3 linked regions of the Canis lupus familiaris genome follow. The protein of the gene in region 3 interacts with the protein of the main gene of each other region in a pairwise test. Links are inferred from orthologs where the notes say so. Each region holds a gene or a part of one and is shown on either strand. Other genes may lie near its edges. The genes, in order: ATXN1, MAPK14 and SUPT20H.

Region 1 (4,080 bases), on a different chromosome or scaffold from region 3:
GCCTTAGATGATTAAAGTCTGAGCTTCAGACCCTGAGAGGACCTGTGTACTTCTGGTTCATCTTACTCCTAGAGTATAGCCCTTAGCACTTTGGGGTCACAGCCCAAAAGAATAGAGCTCACCAGAAAGCATCCTCCCTTAATACACCTAAAGGGTGCCCTGAATTTCATTCCCTACTCTCCTCCTCTCCCCACCTCGCAACCTTCCCCCACGCCCTCTTGAGATTACCAGAGGTCTACTTGGTTTTGAAACTGCTCAAGGTCGCAATGTGCAAATGCTTTCAGGGAAAAATAATCCCAAACACCAGGTTTAAATCTCTCAGCTATCACCCTTCCCTGAGCCTTACGTGGTTGGTTTTTCATTATCTTCTTTTCTGTCTAATGCAATCAGAAATAAGTTTTTACATTTCACCCTTAGTTTTTGTTTGGTTGGGTTTTGTTCAGAGTATTTAGTTGTCCTCAGTAAGAAGATTGTTCCAGATTACCTAGTCTACTACCTCTATAAAAGCTATTGAAAGTTGACTCTTTCAAATTACTTCATTGTTCTTTTTCTTTTTTATATAGCATAAAGTTGAAGAAAATAAATTTCTATGAAAATTAAACTGTTAGAACCTCAAGTGCATTTCAACCTAATTCAATGGCAACGGTAGGGCTTTCACTGGACACTATCTCCTTGCCTATGCTCACCTATCTCCGCTTCCAAGAGTGGGTTCCCATTGCAACCGCACCTGTACTCCACCCCCGTTATGTTTGAAAACTCAGCACAGTGTATCCTCATCCAAGAAAACTCCCTTAATCACCTCTTCTTCAAACTGGTCTGTGCCTTTCCTCTGCCCTCCAACAACCTGATACTGGTATTAAAGTATTATAACCCCACTCACCGTGTTGATTGGCAATTATGTTCATGTGTCTCTTTTGGCCACCGATTGTGAGCTACTTTGGGACTAGGACTAGGGCTGGCTTTTTCCGTTTATTTCCTTAGCACAATACACAGGTTGCACATGATGATAGAGAAGAGAGCAACCTATTGAGAGGATATTGAGCTTCCCCACTTTTGGTATTTATCTTCAAACAAATGCACGGGCTGATTTGAGTACCTGGTGCTTGACCTTGGATGGGCCAACTACTTGAGCTCTCTGTGTCCTAAATTTTATCATCTCCCCAACATTGTCCACCCCTCAAACCTCTCCAAATGCTGCCCAGCCCTCAGCTCGGGTAAACAGGGAAGCCCTCTCTGTTTACTGTGTCTGCTCCTTTCGATTCTTGAGTACACACTCATTTACCCAATAAATATTTATTAAGCTTCCACCATATGCCAGGTGCCCTTTTAGGGGCCAGGGATATAGCGATAAACAGGTAAGGGCTGCCTTCCGGAGCTTGTATACAGTCTCACTCTGATCCCTAATTATACAAGAATAGCATTTGTCCAGCGAGCTGATAAAAGTGCAAGACTTTTATCTTGTGCTCTCGCTTGAGTCCCCTGCAGAGCCTAGCTTAGTACTAAACACCAAGTACCTGTTCTGGCGTCCTTGGGGACCGATCCATTTGTTTTTAATTTTATTTATTTATTCATGAGAGACACAGACAGAGAGGCACAGATATAGACAGAGGGAGAAGCAAGCTCCCTGCTGGGAGCCCGCTGTAGGACTTGATCCCAGGACCCCAGGGATCACGACCTGAGCCAGAGAGGCTGATGCTCAACCCCTGAGCCACCCAGGTGGCCCTGGATCCATTTGTCTTAAAGGAGGCCGGCTAGAGAGCCCATAGTTAGTGAAATGATATTCTGAACACTAAGTGGACTTTTACTGGCTTCCCCCCAACACCCATATACGGTTAAGTACTGGTGCAACCAAAAATTAAGAGCCTCCTTTGTGTGTGTTGGTGGATGAGGTTTGTGGAAGGAAGTCTTATTTTTTTTTCCTCCTCATTTTGCTTATGCCCAGGCGGCAGGCAGTGTAAGACATAAAACAAGAATAAAGCATCCTCCTCATCCTCCTTCCTCTCTGTCTCTGTTTCCACAGGTCAGCGTGGAGGTTTTGGTAGAGTACCCTTTTTTTGTGTTTGGACAGGGCTGGTCATCTTGCTGTCCAGAGAGAACCAGCCAGCTCTTCGACCTGCCGTGCTCCAAGCTCTCCGTTGGGGACGTCTGCATCTCGCTGACCCTCAAGAACCTGAGGAACGGCTCTGTTAAGAAGGGCCCGCCCGTGGATCCCGCCAGCGTCCTGCTGAAGCACTCAAAGAGCGACGGCCTGGCAGGCAGCAGACACAGGTACGCCGAGCAGGAGAACGGCATCAACCAGGGAAGTGCCCAGATGCTGGCCGAGAATGGCGAACTCAAGTTTCCAGAAAAAATAGGATTGCCTGCAGCGCCCTTGCTCACCAAAATAGAACCCAGCAAGCCCGCAGCAACGAGGAAGAGGAGGTGGTCGGCCCCGGAGACCCGCAAACTGGAGAAGTCGGAAGACGAGCCACCTTTGACTCTTCCTAAGCCTTCTCTAATTCCTCAGGAGGTTAAGATTTGCATTGAAGGCCGGTCTAACGTAGGCAAGTAGAGGCAGCGCGGGGAAAGGAAACTCGGCTCCCCCTTCTCATTTGTATCCAGATTACTGTACTGTAGGCTAAATAACACAGTATTTACATGTTACCCTCCTTAGGTTTCTGTTATAACCTTGTCATTAGAGTTACAGCCGGTGTCGCGCAGGAGACTGGTGCACGCGCTTTCCCACGAGGGCCTGGCCCGGCCGTGAGCGCGGCAGGTGCAGGTGGAGGGGGCCGGGCGCGCAGCCCAGGAAGCCCCCGCCGCTCGCCCCGAGGATGCTCGGAGGGCGGGGGAGCTGCAGGGGGGCGGGGGGGGGGCTCGCGTGGGCTCCCGCGTGGGCGCGTGCACGCGGGGAGGGGGGCACAGGTGCACGGCCGCCGAGGCTCTCCGTCCTTCCCTCGGCCTCCCCCTGCCCCCCTGCCTCTTGCCCTCCGCCCGGGACTGGAGGCCCCAGGGGGAGCATCCTCGTGAGGTCCTCCTCCCGTGCAAAGCCGACATCAGGAACCCCGCTCGCCGCAGGGCATGCTAGAGAGGCATCAGACAGCCCGTGGAAAGCTCCCCGTGTAAAAGAACCTTCTTTTTTTTTTTCCTTCCTCCAACATATTTTACAATAAAAGCAACTTTTAATCCTATAGATATATATTTCCCCCTATGGGGCCTGACTGCACTGATATTTTTTTAGAGCAACTGCCACACGTGGGATTTCGTTTCTGCTTTACTTAGTGCAGTGATGTCTCCAGGGTGTCAGGGTGGGCAAGGGGGGAGGGGGGTGGGCGGCGGCGGCAGGAGTAGCAGAGAGTGGACACCCACTCGGGATTCCGTGCAGTGTTAGGAAAACCAATCAGGGGATCACGTTGACTTCGCTCCCAAGAGGTAGACGCAAACTGCCCTTCTGAGAGCCGCCGAAGCTCTTCGCATTGGGTTTGCAAATTTTGTCTTTTAACTCTAGTACTGTTTATAGTTCATGACTATGGACAACTCGGGTGCCACTTTTTTCAGATTCCAGTGTGACGTGAGGAATTAGATTTTGAAGATAAGCATATATATTACTATCTCTAAGCACTTAAAATGCTGTTCACACTTTATTACCAAGCATCTTGGTCTATCATTCAACAAGTACTGTATCTCCCTTTAAACTCTTTGGGAAGAAAAAAACAAAACAAAACAAAAACAAAAACAAAAAAAAAAACTAAGTTGCTTTCTTTTTTTTTTTTTTTCAACACTGTAACTACATTTCAGCTCTGCAGAGTTTCTCACGAGCAAGATATTGGAAGTTTCAATGTGGTTTAAAGGGATGAATGTGAATTATGAACTAGTATGTGACAATGAATGACCACCAAGTACAGCCTCCCAGAAGGCACTTTTCACTTTGATGTTTGAGAAAGAATTAAAGGCACATGCAGAGCTGGCCGAGAAACTGAGAGAAAAGGGATGGAAAAAAGAATACTCATTTTTGTCCAGTGTTTTTCTTTTTAAGATGAACTTTTAAAGAACCTTGCAATTTGCACATCTTGAGTTGATAATTTGTGTGATATTCCTGCA
Region 2 (5,501 bases), on a different chromosome or scaffold from region 3:
AGAGAGAGAGAGAGAGAGGCAGAGACACAGGCAGAGGGAGAAGCAGGCTCCATGCAGGGAGCCGGACGTGGGACTCGATCCCGCGTCTCCAGGACCACGCCCTGGGCTGAAGGCGGCTCTAAACCACTGAGCCACCCTGGCTGCCCAACTGTGTCTATTTTTAAATTGCCTTTTGTCAATCAGAAGTGGCTGGCACAGAGTAGGCATTCGGTACATGTTTGTTGAAAGAGTGACTGAATGTACTGTTTAGTTCATTTTTACCCTTTCAGTCACTCCCACTTCACTATCCCAATTTGGTGGATAATCATGAATTCCTTAGGTTCATTCCTACTGCCGAGTTTCCTCCCTTGTATCCATCCACTCATCACCTTGATTGCCCACTCCCACCCGCCATTTCTTTCCAATCACATTTTTGCTTCTCGCCTCTTCCTTCAACCTTCATTACTTCTTGGAGGGCTCCCTAAACTGCAGGTAGCCTTGGAACATTTTCAAGCAGCATGTCTTCATAGGCGAGAGAATCCAGACTAAGCCACATCGGATCCTCCAAGAAAAGCTTTCCAGGAATGACCCATGACTCTGGTTTTTATTTTTGTTTTTCCTTGAGGAGAACTGAGGATCCTGCACTCTCTCCTAAGTTGAGATCATGGTCATTATTCATAATTTGTTCAATAAATATTTATGGGGTACCTATTATATTCTAGGCACTGTGCTAGGTGCTGGGACAAGATATGCAAAATCTGAGCATTCTAAAGGATGCACGACACGAAAGAGAATAATCACGGGAAGGGTTGAGAGGTGTCCTGGCTTGGACCCAGTTACTTCTAAGAGACATTGTAACAAACTTTAACAAAGGAATAAGTTGGTTACAGTGGCTGTAGGCATGGTTATATAGTATCTTGCTCACTCACACTTACTATCTTGTTCAGCTTTACAGGTAACCCTATTAGGCGCGGATGTAAGGCAGGAATTACTTTTGCAGAAGCTGGAACTAGAGTCTAAGAGAGGTCAATAGACTTGCCTAATAGGACACCCTCTGCCTTGCTCTCCTTAACCTGAGGCAAGAATCAAGCTTCAGAGCAGGATTCAGTTTCAAACCCTCAGAAGTACTCTTTTCAAAAATCCTTCTCCAAGGGGGATGCGGGAGACTTTCCTGAATCAGAACTGCCTGGAGCATATTATAAAAATGCGCGTTCTTGGCGCCTATCACCGACCTATCCACTTAGACTCCCTGTGGGTCCTGGGACTTGGCTTTTTTTTTTTTTTTTTTTTTTTAACACTCCAAGTGTTCTTTTGCACATAAACGTTTAAAGACCGTTAGGAGAGTTTGGGTGGAAAACCTCAGACTTAACGTAGAGCTAATACTTGCTTTCGGGATAGGGTCCGTCACAGTTCCGAAGATTAAGCCGTATGTCCCCGAACATGGAATAACGGCTTTCTGGCTGGAACCTTCCTTTTCCAAATGTAAGTATTTCTTGGAAGTTGGAGGTTCTGCTGAGCAGATGCTCGGCTGCTGGTGACTACCGGCAGTTCAAAGATCTTTTGGCTCTTTTCCCGACACCCTATTAGTCGCCGTCGCCTCCCGCCACGGAGCCGGGCGTTTGCCCCGCCGACCACGGTGGGGCGCACGCGGCATACGTTGCCTGCCTGTCCCTCCCTTTCCCGGGTCCGCCTTCGCGCCCTTAAGAGCAGTCCCCGAGAGTTCCTGCCTCTGGTCTCCAGCTGTTGCCCTTTTCTCGCGAGAAGTGCTCCTCCCATCCTCTCCGGTAGTCCACCCCCTCCCGTGGGCAGGTTCCATATTGGGTAAAATCTCGGCTCGCGGAGAGTCCCGGGAGCTGGTCTCGCGAGAGTACGGCTAGCGACTCCTGTTCGCTGGCTCTGGAACGGCGATCACTGGAACTTGAGCGGGCGCTGCAGCTGGAGCCGCAGTTCCGCGGCGCAGCCCGGGGTCGGCCTGGTCGGGGAGAGGGTGCAGGGAGAGCGTGGTGGGCGCAGCCCTGAGCCCCGCAGCCTGCCCCTGCCCTTCACCGGGCTCGCCCGGCAGCTGCGGCTGACAGGGGCCGCGCGCGCGGGAGTCGGCGGGGTCGCGTCTGCCGCACCTGCGCCGACTGCCAGCTCCGGGTCCCCGCCCGGCCCGGCGGGCAACGAGGGCCCGGGAGCGGGAGCGGGAGCGGGTGCGGGTGCGGGCGCAGGCGGGGCCCCTCAGGGCCACCTCCTAGCCCCGCGGCCGCCGCTGGAAGATGTCTCAGGAGAGGCCCACGTTCTACCGGCAGGAGCTGAATAAGACAATCTGGGAGGTGCCCGAGCGTTACCAGAACCTGTCCCCGGTGGGCTCCGGCGCCTACGGCTCCGTGTGGTGAGTGTCACCGGGCTTGGGTCTGCGGCGGGCTTGGTGGCCTCAGCACCCCAGAACCAGGCCTGCCCACACAGCTCAGCGATGCACCAAGCGGTAGGAATTTTCTCTGGGGGAGGGCATCGTTGCCCATTCGACCCCTGTGCTGCACGCCCGGGACCCCCTTGCACCCCTCACTCTGCACCCCCAGGGAGGCGGTCGGCTGTGTGCAGGATGCAGGTCCACGGTGGGCGGTGGTGCTGGAGCTCGGCCCTGCCTCGCACCCTGCGCAATCCCTTCTGGGGGGGTGGCTGCTCGGGGGAGGGGGGCTGGCACAGAGGCCGGGGCGTCTCTCCGGGGGTGGGGGGTGTCTCCCTGCCAGCCTCGAGCCGAAGGAGCCTCTCCGGAGGTGCAGCCACTCTGGGCGCGCGGGAGCCTGCCCTCCAAGCAGACAAGCCCGGGGGGGCTGCAGGGAGAAGCAGAAGGGCCAAGCTCTACGGGAGACTGCGAGCGTCGGAACAAAACTGACGACCAAGGGCTTTCTGCCCTGGCTTTTTTTTTTTTTTTTTTTTGCAGACCTCTTTCGAAATCTCATTTCGAGAGGCATTCTTTTCGAATTCGCACTTGCATTAGCAGCGACCCAAAGAACCGAAAATACCGACTTTATCTCGGCCAGCCTAGTGCCAGCTTGAGTTGTGTGTTTCCGATTCTGTTGAAAGCGTATTTCCTTTTCGCTGAGTGGGGGTGGGTGGTAGTGCCTGCAAGAACACTGCAGCTTGAGAAACTGGCGGCTTCACTGATTAGTCACATACCACTGCTCATTTAAGTATTGTTTGGCAAAAACAGTTTTTTCACTTGGAGCAAGTGAGATTCAGATCCGTTGGACGCGCTCAAGATCAAAGAATCATGAGCAATCTGGGGAGGTATTGTAAGTATTTCTTAATTGCAGTACATCTTGTGAATATTGTGTTTTTAAACTTCTTTAGAGAGTTCGCAGGGAACTGATCTACATTTGTAGCCTGAGGTACACGATGGTTTTCATAAGGATAGGGAATATATAGCAAAGGAAGGGAGAGACACTTCTCAGCTTTAATTCACACTGTGTTTTAAATTAAATCGATCCAATAAAATTCTTGGATCTAAAATATTTCACTAGTTTAGGTATTACACACCATATTTTAGAGTTACTGTAACTTGAGAGCTGCTGATCTGAAACTAATTCCTGTATTCATGTGAATCATTTGAAAAGGGCTCCATAAGATTTTGGGAGGGTGGGGGTGGGGGTGAGGGAAACGAATTCCAGACTTTTGGATGTGTTAATCTTTATAATTCTTGTGTTTCTTAAAGTCACATCATGAATTTCCTGTTTGCTAGAATCTTCTGGGTAATTGAGATTGTGCAATTGTGTCAAGCAACAGATCATATTGCATTTTCTAGTTCAAGCTGCGTGAGTTCATCTTGCTGATGGTCCCGTGCTTGACATCTTTTCCTCATTTTTATAATATGGCAGTTTACGTTTTAAGGGAATTTGCAACATTTTACTGTATCCATCTATATGTGTGATTGATTTGCAAATTTTCAGAGATATATTTGGATCATGGCTCCTTTAATAGCTTATTATTTTACCACTCTTTTTCATTCTGTTATGTCATAATTGACATTAATTTTCGTAGTACCAAGTTTCTGTTTCCAATGATGTTTAAACTTTAATGAAATGATACAGCAGAATAGCTCAACTATGGGGAGTTTAGTGGACCTGAAAACAACTGCTTGCAAGGTCTTCCTACTGTTGGTATGAATAGCTCTGTCCTGGAACTGCAGATTCAGATTTAGAGTGAAGTATCATAAAAATGACCTTTACATTTCCTTAGTACTATACTTTTTTGGCTTACAGAAGCCAGAAATATCTGACACTTGGAAGTGATTTTGTTAAACATATTTTAAAAAATATGTATAGAATTATATACACATTGTATAAAATTCAAAAGGCGTAAAAGGATATTTAACGAAAGGTATCCTTTCCTTTCTTGTTCTCCAACTGTGCTATTCCTTTCCTCTGAGACAGCCCCTGTTAAGTTTCTTATGTGTCTTTACAAGGAGGCAGAGCCCATTCATTTGTTTTTAGTAGTATTTCTGTTGAGGGATTTAAAGTGTGACATATGGTATATTGGTGGAAGAGAATGCATCTTATGTGTGTCAGTTGACTATGGCAAATATAATTGATTTTGGATTGAAAATATCAGAATTTAGATATACATAAGTAAGTGGCATCTCATTCAGAATTATTTGAAGTTATTCTTTCAGTTCTTTCAGATTCTTAGCAGTGTTTTGGGTGTTGCAGCAAACTTTTTTTTTTTTTTTTTTTTTAATTTCTCTTACAGCATTCTGGAGCCTGTGTTATTTTTCACTGCCATCATCCTTTAAGAACAGATTTGATTTTAGGGAATAAGAAAATCAAGCTGAATTCAAATAATTTAGAGAATTTGTACTCAAGTCTGGCGAGAAAGATTAGGCATTCAGGTTGGTCTTGTTTTAGGTCAAATAGGAGTTATAACTATAAAGTAATGACAGAATTTCTTGTGTGACTTGTAGAACTGGATCTGAAGTCTGTTCCGAAAAAGAATCTCTGAAAGCATTTTAAGGAATGCAACCTCACGCAAATATCTGTCAGTTTCCTAATTTGATTGCTCCTAAGTGTGATATACTTTGATGTATATTAAAAGTTTTTTATGTTAAGCCTATTTTCTCATTTTAATTTTCACTAAGTCTACAGTAAAAAGGCAAGCAGCAGCCTGTATGCTATGAATCCAAGATCAAGGAATCAGACTAGAAATTGAAAATTGATAAGGTTTTATTTTTTTAATTTTTCAATTTTTTAAAAAATTGATAAGGTTTTATAATATACCTTTCCTTTTTAAAAGGTAAAGGGAACTAAATAAGTCTTGCAGTTTTAAGGAACTTTGTTGCATTGTCTGTGAGGGGAAATGAAGCAAAATTGTTTAAGAATACTTTGTTGCAAAGCATTGATTTTCTGGTTTTGGGACAGAAGGAGGGACTCTTTGTGGTGAGTTTAAGGAAATATAAACAGGAACTTAAATGCCTTTCCTCTGGGTATGGTTTTTCCAGACCCTTGCTGTTGATTAGAGGAGGTGGGGCCCTGGTAGCCATAAAA
Region 3 (4,969 bases):
ATAAACAGGAAAATCTATGCTGCTGTCAATGTGTAATATTAGGTTAGTGCATGTAATACATGTATTACCTAAAACTAAAACAGATTTGTTGAGATAGTTTCTATCCACATGTAAACTATTTTTCAGTTTCAGAAATATGCAATTTGTTAATTTCACAAAAATTTCTTTACATCACAGTGAGAGTATCTTAAAAAACAAACAAACAAACAAACAAAAAAAACAAAAAACAAAGCAAAGAAACAAAACCAGGGCATCAATGCAAACTTACCAAACAGAGCCCACTACATTGATGAAGTTAAGTCCAGCAGAGTTTGCCATGACCTGGGTGGCCGTGGTTCCTGTAGTTATGGATGTTACCATGGTGGAAAGAGGAATGGTCGTTACAGGCATTGCCTGGCTCAGAGACCTTTGCTGCTGAGCAAACTGAGTTAACAAAGTGGGCTGAGGGGTGAAGCCTGAATCTTGGGGAGTAAGGGTGGCTGAAGGGGTAATAGGAGTTGAGCTCTGAGCATCAGGAGGGTGTGGGGTCGATGAAGGGGTTGGTGTAGGAGTAGATGGCTTAGGAGTTCCAGATCCTGCTCATTGAGAAAAATAAAAATTGCTAGTTTGTTATAAATGGCCAGTCCTTTTTAAAATAAGGTTAATGGAATCTTACTTAGCACTGACAATTTGTTCCAGTTTTTTTTTTTTAAGCAGTTAACTGCAAGTGTTAATTTCTACACATGATACATGAGTGTTGCTACACTCAATTACAATTAAGGATGCAGTATATCACCTAAAAATTCCATCAGAGATGCTATTACAGTAACAGTAAAAATATACATTTGTATTCTACCACAATACCCATTTAAAAGTTAATTTCCTACATGCTACCTTTGGCCTAAAAACTTTAAGAGGAATTCAAATTAATTTTTGTTATTTACGATTTCACTAATTTAGAACTTCACTTAAAAATATTGCTTCTTTTCTGTAACAGTCTGAGATAAACTCTGAACATACTTAATAAATTACATATGGTTAACAATCATAATTGGCACCTAAATGTACATGTTTAATTCCTAACACATCAAGTTTATCCTGACAAACAAATTTACAAAACGCAGTAATAAAGCAAATATTTGATAGATAATACTGCATCTTTAACAGTAACTGTGTACTTCTGTTTAAATGTAAGAATGTATAGAAAATCTGTTGTGAATGAAGTATGCACAGTTTATCAACTTTTTAAAAAAAAAACAAAAACAAAAAACAAAAACCAAAAAAATAAAACCAAAAGCTCTTGAGGTGTTTTCTTTTTTAGCTTTCATGTCCTGCAGAAAGAAAGGAAAGAAATGTGAATGTCCAGAAGCTGTCACTCAACCCTTACTTAAAGTAACAACTGTGTGCAGTAGATTAACATAATCCATACCCACAACATAAGAAGTGTGAATAAGACTTCCAGGAAATTTATAAATTTTTCTTTGTGCAAAACAAGAAGGCAGAAAAATTACACCTTTTGAGCTATCAAGATGAAGATGTTTATATCTAAGGCGAAGACCACTCTATCACTGTGCAGTGTATAAAACTTTCAGCACACTTTAGTTATCTATAAAAAAATCTAAAAAACTGGAATGCTTTTTTTCAAATTGATACCTAAATATCTCAGAAATCTCTAATTTGAAGAAATCTTCCCAATTGAATGCTAGAATTCTTGCATAAGTCTTCTTGATGTTAAAAAAAAAAGTATTCAGTAGTAAAAATTACATTTTAATATTTTCAGAATAATGCTTTATGATTACCACATTTTAGTAACTGATTACAATTTTTAAGAGTGTAGGAGTGTTTCTGAAAAATCAGCTTTCAGTTTATTCTATCACCACCTTGGAACTAGTTGGTTTCTTACATACACAAATAGGACTGCAGCAACAACTCGTATGACATTTTTCCTTTCATATCAGCTATATAATTTACATAAAATGTAACATGATCCTAGGGTACACTGGAATAAAAAGTATTTTGGAATCTTATTGCCACATTTGGCTAACATCTTTTTAAGGATATGTGTAGGTTGTAAGTCTATAAGGTATACACACAGTGCATACACAGATACAGAAAAACAAATACAATTACAATAAACACAAAATACATACAATCAACAAGAGATTTGCCTGAAGCTTCTCAAAATTTATACATTTTGGGTACATAGTACATTTAGATTTCAATTTTACTGGTCAAAAAAAAAATAGCTGTTTTAAGAAACACTAAGTACAAAAAGCTAATGAAGAGCTTATGAGGAATTTAAGTTATAACTCACTTTGTGATGAGCTGGCAGGTGACAGGGCAGCTGGAGAAAGCATGCTAACTTGATTGAGATCCATAGATGACTTCCGAGAAAGACTTGGTGGCTTGGAAGCAGGAGGAGGAGTTGGAGATTTTAGAAAGCTGCTGGCCTGTTGTGGTGTAAAATAGTTACCTAGAAGAATATAAAAGTTATTTTCTACACTTACAATTCAAAATTCTGTTAACTAAGTCATTATATGAAGTTTTAAAAACAGATTTTGACTGTGTGACATGTTTTACTCCAGATTACAGACAACAAAGAATTTAATACCTGAAGAACTATTTCCTGAGCTTGAGGGAAGTTTGATGGGTGGAGGTCGATGTTTTACTCCCTTTCCCAATACTGAAGACTGAACTGACACAGTCTCAGGCTGCTAAGAGACAGGGACATTAAATATACTTGTTAAAATTAAATTAAGCTCAAATCAGAAATTCATAAATTAATGCCACTATAGCTTCTAGATGAGAACACACAGTTTAAAACTCTGCAAAGTACTCTTATTGTTATAGATTGGGTGTGAGAGTTAAAAAAATACATAATTTCACATAAGAAGATCCATGAAATAAATTATAGTATATATAAAAAATGAAGATTTCTAGATAGTAAGGTGGGCAGACAGTTTGAGGAAGGTCAGATAGGTAAACTTCCACTCTAAAGCAAAGCTTCCACTCTTAAATCTTTCCAGGGAAAATAGTAAATTGTTGAAGCCAGGTGATTAATATGCACAGATAGATGTTCATTATACCCTTCTACCTTTGTGTATACTTGAAAGTTTACATTATAAAAAGTTAAATACTTGAACTGGTATAGCCACTCTGGAAAACTGTGTGGAGGTTCCTCAAAGAGTTAAAAATAGATCTGCCCTACGACCCAGCAATTGCACCACTGGGGATTTACCCCAAAGATACAGATGCAGTGAAACGGCAGGACACCTGCACCCCAATGTTTATAGCAGCAATGTCCACAATAGTCAAACCGTGGAAGGAGCTTTGGTGCCCAAGGAAAAATGAATGGATAAAGAAGATGTGGTCTATGTATACAATGGAATATTACTCAGCCTTTGGAAACGACAAATACCCACCATTTGCTTCGATGTGGATGGAACTGGAGGGTATTACTCTGAGTGAAGTAAGTCAATAGGAGAAGGACAAACATTATATGGTCTCATTCATTTGGGGAATATAAAAAATAGTGAAAGGGAATAAAAGGGAAAGGAGAAAAAATGAGTGGGAAATATCAGAAAGGGAGACAGAACATGAGAGACTCCTTACTCTGGGAAACGAACAAGGGGTGGTGGAAAGGGAGGTGGGCGGGGGGTAGGGGTGACTGGGTGACGGGCACTGAGGGGGGCACTTTATCGGATGAGCACTGGGTGTTATTCTATATGTTGGCAAATCGAACTCCAATAAAAAAAGTACACAAAAAAATAAATAAAAAAAAATAAAAAGTTAAATACTACACAATACCCCCATCCCTTGAAAAAAAGTCTTTAACATTTCTTAGATTCTTTGAAAAACAAATAAGGACAAAAGAGTCATCCAACACACTTCTGTTTCTTTCCCTGGAGAAAGCTGGCTCAAGCTGGCAGAGCCACTGGAGCTGTGTGACATTTTGACTGGACATTTGGCTTCATTCTGGACCAATTCCTGGTACTGATTGACTACCCTGGAATATGAAGAGTAAATGAGTAAAGATTAGCTAACTCTGTTCTAAACACAAATTTATAGGAAATAAATAACTGTTAACAAAAAAATTCCACCAAAATTAACACAAAGATTCAAACTAGACAATTTATCTTTGCACCAAAGGTACATTCTTCTAGTCTTTTCAACAAGCTACTCAAAACATTTTGCTAATAAACAATCTAAAGATAAACATATAGTATCTTCCTTCTAATACAGGAATTACAGGGATTATTTAACCAATTAGCAGCTAAAGAAATTACCCACTGACTTTCACTCACATTCTGATTATATACTTAGAAATTATCCTCCTGAGCTACCATAGATATTTTATCTATGCTTTCTTATTCAAAATACACTGTATTTTAAACATTATTCTTGTGTTATTTTCCTAATTCCATAAGAAATCCTTTAAAAGTGAAGCTTTTAATATCCATCCAGATTAAAGATAAAAATGCAAATATTTTTACCTCTCAGCATCAGTCTTCGATCCAATAACAAACCTGAAGTGTTTAAAAGAGAGAAAAGTATTATGTTAAGAGTTGTCTTAAGGAGCCCTGGGATACTTTTGAAGGCTTCCATATTTTAGTGACTGTAGTTTTATAAAATGAGTCAATCTACAGAGATATTACAAAAAAAATTATTAAATACATTTAAACTTATGAAGCAATGACCAAGTTTTGCATGCATTATAAAATAATTCTGTGGATAATTTGGCTGATTTAAGGGAGATGTATTTTGGCACAAAACTGATGTATAAAAACAAAATCTGGGCTGAAAGTTACCAAGTGCTATATATACTTGCAAGTGTCTGCCCTACAGCAAAATTCACTGAACTACTGTGTCCAATGCCTTTGGCTTTCCTCTCACTTTAACCTTTGATTTTTGAAGTCATTAATGTCTACAGAGCAGATCTTAGAATATATTTTAGACAAGGAAGGTAGTTTGTTGCCAATTCAATAAAATG

Evidence for each region.
Region 1: the proteins of SUPT20H (region 3) and ATXN1 interact in binary tests that used the Homo sapiens proteins (3 or more experiments, as listed by UniProt). The link is inferred for Canis lupus familiaris from reciprocal best matches to the Homo sapiens genes SUPT20H and ATXN1.
Region 2: the proteins of SUPT20H (region 3) and MAPK14 interact in binary tests that used the Homo sapiens proteins (3 or more experiments, as listed by UniProt). The link is inferred for Canis lupus familiaris from reciprocal best matches to the Homo sapiens genes SUPT20H and MAPK14.

Annotation. Positions count from the first base shown.
Region 1 is NC_049256.1:16,755,580-16,759,659, reverse strand, and holds the end of ATXN1 (ataxin-1), read left to right. Parts: intron 1-2,020; coding exon 2,021-2,551; 3' UTR 2,552-2,643; downstream 2,644-4,080. UniProt on the Homo sapiens protein: Chromatin-binding factor that repress Notch signaling in the absence of Notch intracellular domain by acting as a CBF1 corepressor. Binds to the HEY promoter and might assist, along with NCOR2, RBPJ-mediated repression. Binds RNA in vitro.
Region 2 is NC_049233.1:5,325,518-5,331,018, forward strand, and holds the start of MAPK14 (mitogen-activated protein kinase 14), read left to right. Parts: upstream 1-2,237; coding exon 2,238-2,353; intron 2,354-5,501. Other genes in the region: SLC26A8 (testis anion transporter 1), read right to left, coding at 1,367-1,421. UniProt on the Homo sapiens protein: Serine/threonine kinase which acts as an essential component of the MAP kinase signal transduction pathway.
Region 3 is NC_049246.1:3,746,298-3,751,266, reverse strand, and holds part of SUPT20H (transcription factor SPT20 homolog), read right to left. Parts: intron 4,506-4,969; coding exon 4,473-4,505; intron 3,986-4,472; coding exon 3,868-3,985; intron 2,694-3,867; coding exon 2,591-2,693; intron 2,453-2,590; coding exon 2,294-2,452; intron 576-2,293; coding exon 269-575; intron 1-268. UniProt on the Homo sapiens protein: Required for MAP kinase p38 (MAPK11, MAPK12, MAPK13 and/or MAPK14) activation during gastrulation.